Linked DNA regions of Saccharomyces cerevisiae S288C. The gene in region 1 interacts genetically with each later gene. Each region holds a gene or a part of one and is shown in the gene's direction. Other genes may lie near its edges.

Region 1 (3,284 bases):
TATTTGGATGTTAAGCAACGTTTGAATGCCGCTCAAATTATTAGATCTTTACTAGCTCCAACTAAATACGTTATTTGTGTTGAGCACGATTTGTCAGTTTTGGATTATCTTTCCGATTTCGTTTGTATCATATATGGTGTTCCATCTGTTTACGGTGTTGTTACATTACCAGCCTCTGTCAGAGAAGGTATCAACATATTCTTGGACGGTCATATTCCTGCTGAAAACCTGAGATTCAGAACTGAAGCTTTACAATTTAGAATAGCTGATGCTACCGAAGACTTGCAGAATGACTCTGCTAGTCGCGCCTTCTCTTACCCAAGTTTGAAGAAAACTCAAGGTGATTTTGTTTTGAATGTTGAAGAAGGTGAATTCTCCGATTCCGAAATCCTTGTTATGATGGGTGAAAACGGTACCGGTAAGACCACTTTGATCAAATTACTAGCTGGTGCTTTGAAGCCAGATGAAGGACAAGATATTCCAAAATTGAATGTTTCTATGAAACCACAAAAAATTGCACCAAAGTTCCCAGGTACTGTCAGACAATTGTTTTTCAAGAAAATTAGAGGACAATTCCTAAATCCACAGTTTCAGACTGATGTCGTTAAACCTTTAAGGATTGACGATATTATTGATCAAGAAGTCCAACATTTGTCTGGTGGTGAATTACAAAGAGTCGCCATCGTCTTGGCATTGGGTATCCCAGCAGACATATACTTGATTGATGAGCCATCTGCCTACTTAGATTCCGAACAACGTATTATCTGTTCTAAAGTTATCAGAAGATTCATCTTACATAATAAGAAAACTGCGTTTATTGTCGAGCACGATTTCATCATGGCTACTTATCTTGCTGATAAGGTCATTGTTTTTGAAGGTATTCCTTCCAAGAATGCTCACGCAAGAGCCCCTGAATCTTTGTTGACTGGTTGTAACAGATTTTTGAAGAATTTGAATGTCACCTTCAGAAGGGATCCAAACTCCTTCAGACCAAGAATTAATAAGCTAGATTCCCAAATGGATAAAGAACAAAAATCATCAGGAAACTACTTTTTCTTGGATAACACCGGTATTTAAGCATCTTGGGATTCGGAGAACCAAGAGGACGATTGTTTTATTTTTGGGTTTAGAAATGTGGAGAAATAATTAAGAGTTATAATGTTTTTGCAAAACAAAATGAGTATTATATTACATTGAGTTCCTTCCCAAGCATCGGGTTGTTTATTTCTAGATATACGCCAACTAATACATTTCTAACTTCCCACCTTCATTACATCATAACCTGAAAGTGAACAACCTCCTCTTCGGTGATCCGTACTCCAGTTTATTTCATTTTTCTGTAAAGCAACTACACTATATTTATTCTCTATTTATTTTATATACCTATTGTATTTTAATTAATCGTTATTTTGTCCGCACCTTCTTCGTAATCGAATTTACCTTGTAAACGAGTCGTCATGATAAGCATTTGCTGCATTACTGAACGTTTATCTTAGCATGACATTAAAGTCCGTTTGTCTAAAATATCACCCAATTATTTCCGCGGTGTGAGCGCCAGATAAGGTGCTTCGGGTAATATGAGAACGCCGTTTCTTGATAGCATTTTTCAATGACTAGATAGGTAGATTACCTCTGTATCACACTTCTCGTACCAAACGAAACTCATATAAATAATGCTTTCCTTCTGGTGCCTTCTACTTTCCGCTGATCTCTATTTTCAAATTAACCGCTGAAATATAAACTGTGGAATACTATAACATAACATAGATTTAAGAATAAGGTATTCATGATCTCTGAAAAGGCTGCTACCGCTTTAGCTACTATAGCAACAGTTTGCTGGTGTGTCCAGCTAATTCCGCAAATAATATATAATTGGAAAAAAAAGGACTGTACGGGGCTGCCACCACTGATGATGTTCCTCTGGGTTGTTTCCGGAATTCCATTTGCCATATATTTCTGTGTTAGTAAAGGTAATGTCATTTTACAAGTTCAACCACACCTTTTTATGTTCTTCTGTTCTATAAGTTTCGTCCAATCGTGTTATTATCCACCAATCAGTATGGCGAGATCCAAAATAGTAATGATTGTAGCTGCTATTATTGCGGCTGATGTTGGCATGGAAGTTGGCTTTATATTATGGCTGAGGCCCCTTTACGAGAAGGGTGTTAAATGGCCCGATCTGATTTTTGGTATTTCTGCATCTGTTTTGTTAGCTGTCGGACTGCTTCCACCTTACTTTGAACTAGCCAAAAGGAAAGGTCGTGTTATTGGCATCAACTTTGCCTTCTTATTCATCGATTCATTAGGTGCTTGGCTATCTATCATCAGTGTTATCCTAGGTAATATGGATATTATGGGTATTATATTATACTCAATAGTTGCTGGAATGGAGTTAGGAATTTTCGCGTCTCATTTCATATGGTGGTGTAGGTTTAGATTCCTAGCTAAAGGCAATACTTTTGACGAAGAAAGTGGCCAAGCTCAAAAGGAAGAACCCGATGAAAAAATCGAACAAGATATTAGCAAGAGTGACCGAAATGTTACTAACTATAACCTGGATAACTGTTCAATCCCCGACGATGCTTCGAGCTTTGCAGACGATTTTAATATATACGATAGTACTGATGGGGGGACGTTATCAAGAGCCCAAACATTGCATGCTGTCCATGGAGTTGTGGTTAGAACAGATCCTGATCGTTATTCGAGGCTAAGTGTGTAACGAATCTGAGTCCTTTTTAGTTAGCACGTTTTCATCTCTTTTTGATAGCACGCTTAATAATATTCACCACTAGCGCAGTAATATGGCATCTGCCGCAGGTGTAAAGGTTTTCACTTCGCTTATATTCACAATACTATGCGTTCAAACACGGCCATCAGAAAAGATCAAAATAAGGATTATTAATTAAAAACTTAAACAGAAATTCAGTTTGCAACACCCTTCGCAATGGCGAAGTTTCCAAAAACAAAATCTCCAAACAAGATTAACATTCTTCTTATGTAACCACATGATATGCATATTTTATATAGACTGTACACATGAAAAACTTTTATCGTCCAAAATAATTAAAAGAAAATTTCAATCATACCATAGCACACTGTTCCAGTAACTGAGAAAAACATTGTGAAGCAACCAACATAATGCCAGATTGGCGCCAAAGTGAACCGACTAAATAACAACAACAGGCACGCACAGATCAAAATAAGGGAAACCAGTAAGGAAATGATAATAATGGCTATGAGAATATTTTGAATTTCTAAATCTATCTCATTATTACTTTGCCCGC
Region 2 (5,752 bases), on another chromosome or scaffold:
GACCAATTAAGTGTGGATCAAATCAAGAAAATCAGAGAAGAACGTGCTCAGAAGAGACAGGTACGTAGGAACTCTCTAATATCCCAAGGGAAGGACCCTGACTTCCCAACGCCTGACTTACAATTCATTGAAAGACCATTCCTCCCTATCAACCATGATAATTCGAAAGGTCTTACGCCAGCGACCATACAAGTCACCCAAGATTCATTGGACGTTAAAATAATGACCTATAATACTCTAGCACAAACCTTGATTAGGAGAGATTTTTTCCCAGAAAGTGGACCAGCGTTAAAGTGGCATAAGAGATCAAAAGTTTTGGTCCACGAATTGAAAAAGTACAGGCCTGATGTAGTATCGTTGCAGGAGGTCGATTACAATGAACTCAACTTCTGGCAGGAGAATTTCCATAAGTTAGGGTTTGATGTGATTTTCAAAAGGCATGAAGGGAAAACTCATGGACTACTAGTTGCATGGAACAATAAAAAATTCCAGTTAGATAATGATTGGATGCTGGACTACGATAATATATTGGCGGGAAATGTCATTTCAGCAAGAACAAGAACTAAAAATATTGCCCTTATTATATCGCTATATTTCAAGGGTATAACAGATTCATCATCAAGAGGAATTATCGTCGCAAATACACACCTATTTTGGCATCCCTTTGGGGTATTTGAAAGATTAAGGCAATCTTACTTGGTTTTACAAAAGATCCAGGAAATTAAAGCATGTTCCAAATATAATGGCTGGCATAGCCTACTGATGGGTGATTTCAATACCGAACCTGAAGAGCCACCGTACTTGGCCATAACGAAAAGACCACTGATATTAAAAGGCCCAATAAGAGCTATGGTGGAATGCTCACTAGCGTATCGGTATTCAAAAAAAAGGAATGGAGAAGAAAGTGACCAGGATGATGAAGAGTGTGATGAAAAGTCTAGGGGCGAAGGCCATTCAGATCAACCACAAAACCCAAAACCAGAGAGCTTTACAGCCACAAAGGAAGAAAAGGCTCTGGTAAATCAATTAGTTGCGTTGCATAATTCACTACATGTGAAAGGCGTATCTTTGTATGGGATTGGCTACGGTAAAGTGCATCCTGAAAATGCTAACGGAAGCCACGGCGAACCGGGACTCTCAAACTGGGCCAATACATGGTGTGGATTATTAGACTACATATTTTATATCGAGGGTGATCATAATCAGGACACGCGTCAGAAAGAGCCTCTGAATGCTTTTGAAGGAAATAACAACGTAAAAATAATCGGATATCTGAGGATGCCGTGCGCACAAGAAATGCCCAAACACTCCCAACCTTTCGAGGGAGAATATGCTAGTGATCACATTTCCCTAATGTGCCAAATACGCTTGTTTTTTGGGGGGGAGAAAGTGCATAGCTTAAAATAAAGAAACAATATATATAAACAACCTACATTTGTGTTTGAAAGACAGTAATCAACGCTTCGATGGTCACTGGGATTTTTCTTTCAATTTAGCGTCACTTTCACCTTATTCACAGCTTTTACGTGCTATTTTTGGTCACCCTTCCCCTTTCGTTGCGCCTCAACGGGCTAAAAAAAAAAAAATAAAATCAAGCATAGAAACACCACAACAAACCTGCCCTTTTTCCTTGTTTCAGGTTACGTGAAAAGCATCCAGAGAAGATATCCCAAAGACTGAAGAGGTGTAGTTGGCTCATTCACGTCGTTCGTTTATATTATCAAGGAAGGGGTTTTTGATCGGCTCGAACAAGACTCGCAAGAATCCGTTTTCTATTGTTTTTTTTGAGGATTCCAATATGTCAAATTCCAATTCAAAAAAACCTGTTGCGAATTACGCATACCGTCAACAGCAAGATTATAATGGGATGAACGCCATGGTGGGAAATCCAATGATGTATCATCCTGTTGATTTCGTAAACGGTGCCGGCCAATATGGTCCTTCTCAACACCCAGCATATTACACCAACTCACCATTACCTAATATTCCACCAACACCTTTTGATACTGCATACGGTGCCAGTCTTTTTCCATCTCACCTATTGATGGGATCTCCATTTGTTTCCTCGCCTAACATGCAAAGTGGCTATAATTCTGCAAGATCATCTAATCTCAAAAGAAAGGCTTATTCGAGGCCCGTTTCTAATCATAACGGTTACAACGGAAACAGTAACAGTAACCAAAACAATACTAATAACGGAATGGTAACACCCTCGAACTATTATAGAATGGGGAGAAATTCTTTCTCGAGGAACAACAACAGTACGAGGAATGTTACTCACAACAACAATAAGGGGTGCGACACCCGGAACAACAGTGGAAGAAGAACATTCGCAAGGAATAACATTTTCGACGACATACTTCCAGAAATGCTTTTACAAAGACCCTTTTGTATTAATTACAAGGTTCTACCGACTGGTGATGATGCTTATAGAACTAGGTCGCTGCTTATTGAAAATGTGGATCATTCTATTGATTTACACTCTATAGTCAAAAATTTTGTCAAATCCAATACTCTGGAAAGTGCCTACTTAATTGAAGGAGGGAAGAGCGATGATTCAAAAGATGTAGAGACTAAAAATCTATCCATTCTAATAAGCTTTCTAACCAAAGGCGACTGTTTGAACTTTTACAATAACATTTTACAAAGGTTATCTGAATTCAAAACATTTTTGAAATCTGAAGCACTAAATCTGAAATTTGTTTGTCTAAACTATGATCCCAAATGCCTCCCTACCTTTATTGAGAGTGAAGCGTTAACAGAAAACGCTGAAGAAGCCGACATTACCAATGGTTCAACAATGATCAGTGCTTCGCTGCATCATAATATAGCGAACAAAGATGCTACAAGGTCGATTATAATTGAATTCAAAAGCCCCGTGGAGAAAAGCGATTTATTCAAAAAGAAATTACAATTTTTGGACAGGTCAAAAAACAAAAGATACATTTTGGAATCTATCGATTTAGTGAACACAGATGTACCTTCCAATCAATTTCCTGAAAATTACGCCGTTTTAACCTTTTTGAATATCTCTATGGCTATTGAAGTTCTCGATTATTTGAAAAAATACTCCAAAAACTTAGGCATTTCTAAATGTTTTTACGTATCCCTAGCCCCGTTGGTAGTTAGCTCAGCCAGATCTTCGGTTGCTAATATTTACGAGGGTAAAACGAGCACACATCGTTTATCGGTGCCTTCTGTTACTGCTGGGAACAATAACGATAGCAACAACAACGGAAACAATAATAAAAGTAATATGAGTGGTATCACCACACTCAATAATAATAGTAGTATTGGTGTTTCCGTATACGGTCACTCTAATATGAGTTTAACCAGTCTGTCATCATCTGTATCTTTAAATGAAGAGATTGATATGCTTGCGACGAAACTTCAAGGGGTAGAACTTGATGGGACTTATTTAGAAATCAACTATCGCGACTATCAAACACCAACTATTGAAGAACACTCTACTCACTTGAGCAATGTCAAAATTTCAAAGACAACAGAAAACTCTAGGCAATTTTCTCAAGATATCCCATCACCTTTGCCATTAAATGAACATATGTTTATGAATGATTCTAATCAGTCCAATGGAGCGATAATACCTCAACAGTTAATAGCCACACCTTCTCCGGTATCCCCCAATTTGCAAATGAATCAAAGGGTGTTGCCGAATCCAATAACTCAAAGTTTGGAGCAAAATTTCAACGTTTCGGCCAAAGTGGCATCATCCATGGGTTCAGACATAGGCAATAGAACAATTTATATAGGAAACATTAATCCAAGATCAAAGGCGGAGGATATCTGTAATGTCGTGCGTGGAGGAATCCTTCAGAGCATTAAGTACATACCGGAGAAGAAGATATGCTTTGTTACTTTCATCGAAGCTCCATCCGCTGTACAGTTCTATGCAAATTCATTTATTGATCCAATAGTGTTACATGGGAATATGTTGAGAGTTGGATGGGGGCATTATTCTGGTCCATTACCGAAATTAATCTCGTTGGCTGTTACGATCGGGGCAAGTAGGAATGTCTACGTAAGCCTACCAGAGTTTGCATTTAAGGAAAAGTTTATTCACGACCCTCAGTACAAAAAATTGCATGAAACACTATCTTTACCAGATGCGGAACAACTAAGAGAGGACTTTAGTACCTATGGTGATATTGAGCAGATTAACTATTTGAGTGATAGCCATTGCTGTTGGATAAATTTCATGAATATATCTTCTGCGATTAGTCTTGTTGAAGAAATGAATAAGGAATCCACAGTACAAAATGAATCCGGTGAAGTGACGCTTAAAAGGGCGACTGAGGAAAAATTCGGTGGCCGTTATAAGGGCCTTCTGATAAACTACGGCAAAGATCGTTGTGGCAATATAAACAAAAATTTGATAGCAGGTAAAAATTCAAGATTCTATAAGAAAGTTAAAAGACCGAGCTATAATATACGTTTGAGTAAGTTGGAAGAAAAGAGGAGGCAGAATGAAATCGATGAAAAGGAAAAGGCTTTTGATAAACCCTTGAACTTGGAATCCCTAGGAATTAGTCTGGACGCACATAAGGACAACGGCGGTGGTGAAACAGGAACTGCAAATAATACTGGGCATGAAAATGAAAGTGAACTAGAGGCTGAAAATGAAAACGGTAATGAGACTGGAAGTTTCGGTGGACTGGGTCTCGCTGTGGCGAGCTCTGACGTCAAACGTGCGACATCGGATGAAACTGATTATGAAGATATATTTAACAAGTCATCGGGATCTTCCGACTCGTCATCAGACGTCGAGGTCATTATGCACTCCCCGAGCGATCCTGAATACGCTTTAAAATCACAAACTCTAAGAAGCTCGAGTCAGACCGTCATTAATAGTAAGAGACCAGTAAAGATAGAAGACGAGGAAGAAGCCGTAGGAATGTCACAGCTCAATTATAGGTCGTCATTAAGACAAGCTCCTCCAAGAGCTCCCTCAACTTTGTCATATAATCACTCGAAGAACAACGAAACGCCAATGCAAGATATTTTCACAAATGGCGAAACAGCAAATAACAGAAAGAAGAAGAGAGGATCTTTTGCAAGGCATAGAACGATACCAGGATCTGACGTCATGGCCCAATACCTTGCACAAGTGCAACATTCGACATTTATGTATGCAGCCAATATTTTGGGCGCCTCTGCGGAAGACAACACGCATCCTGACGAGTAGTATAGCTGTGCTGAGCCTGAAGTATAATGCATATCCATCGGACTATTTAGACAAAGCCCAAGGAAGCCTAAGGCGGCCTGCCAAGGTGTTTCTCCCTTTTTTTCTCCGATTTCTTTGTATAAACTAAATAATATAGTGATTACTAATGGAATGGCGGTATTATGCACCTAACCTGTTCATTCTGCCACAGATTACGTAAGCGATTTATTGCCGGCACTTGTTGTCTTAATGACCGAGTCACCAATGTGGAACGATAATTTTCTCTGACTCAAACCTGTTAATTTTTTTCTACTTCGTTTCGTTAGCGACGACGTCAAGCCGCAGGATCCTGTCTGCCTTGACCTCTTCTCTACCTTCAGAACTTACACTTTTCAGGTAAGATGACCTTTATATAAAAGTTGACACTATTACAGTTGTTTATAAACGTCTGAAGAATGAGACGTTTTTATAAAATGAATAAAATGCATATTCTAAGTTTAAAACAACATTTTCAAAGTGTACGATTGTAAAAAGAGAGGCAATTAGAGAATCTCAAACAGGTAATAATAA

What was found.
Region 2: mutations in ILT1 (region 1) and NAB6 together harm fitness more than expected from each alone (negative genetic interaction), as found in Saccharomyces cerevisiae (one large-scale study listed by BioGRID).

The regions. Positions count from the first base shown.
Region 1 is NC_001136.10:624,501-627,784, reverse strand, and holds ILT1 (Ilt1p), read left to right. Parts: upstream 1-1,786; coding exon 1,787-2,719; downstream 2,720-3,284. Other genes in the region: RLI1 (Fe-S cluster-binding ribosome biosynthesis protein), read left to right, coding at 1-1,077; VTC5 (Vtc5p), read right to left, coding at 3,064-3,284.
Region 2 is NC_001145.3:32,445-38,196, forward strand, and holds NAB6 (Nab6p), read left to right. Parts: upstream 1-1,798; coding exon 1,799-5,203; downstream 5,204-5,752. Other genes in the region: NGL3 (3'-5' poly(A) RNA exonuclease), read left to right, coding at 1-1,407; ATR1 (borate transporter), read left to right, coding at 5,752-5,752. UniProt on the Saccharomyces cerevisiae protein: RNA-binding protein that associates with mRNAs encoding cell wall proteins.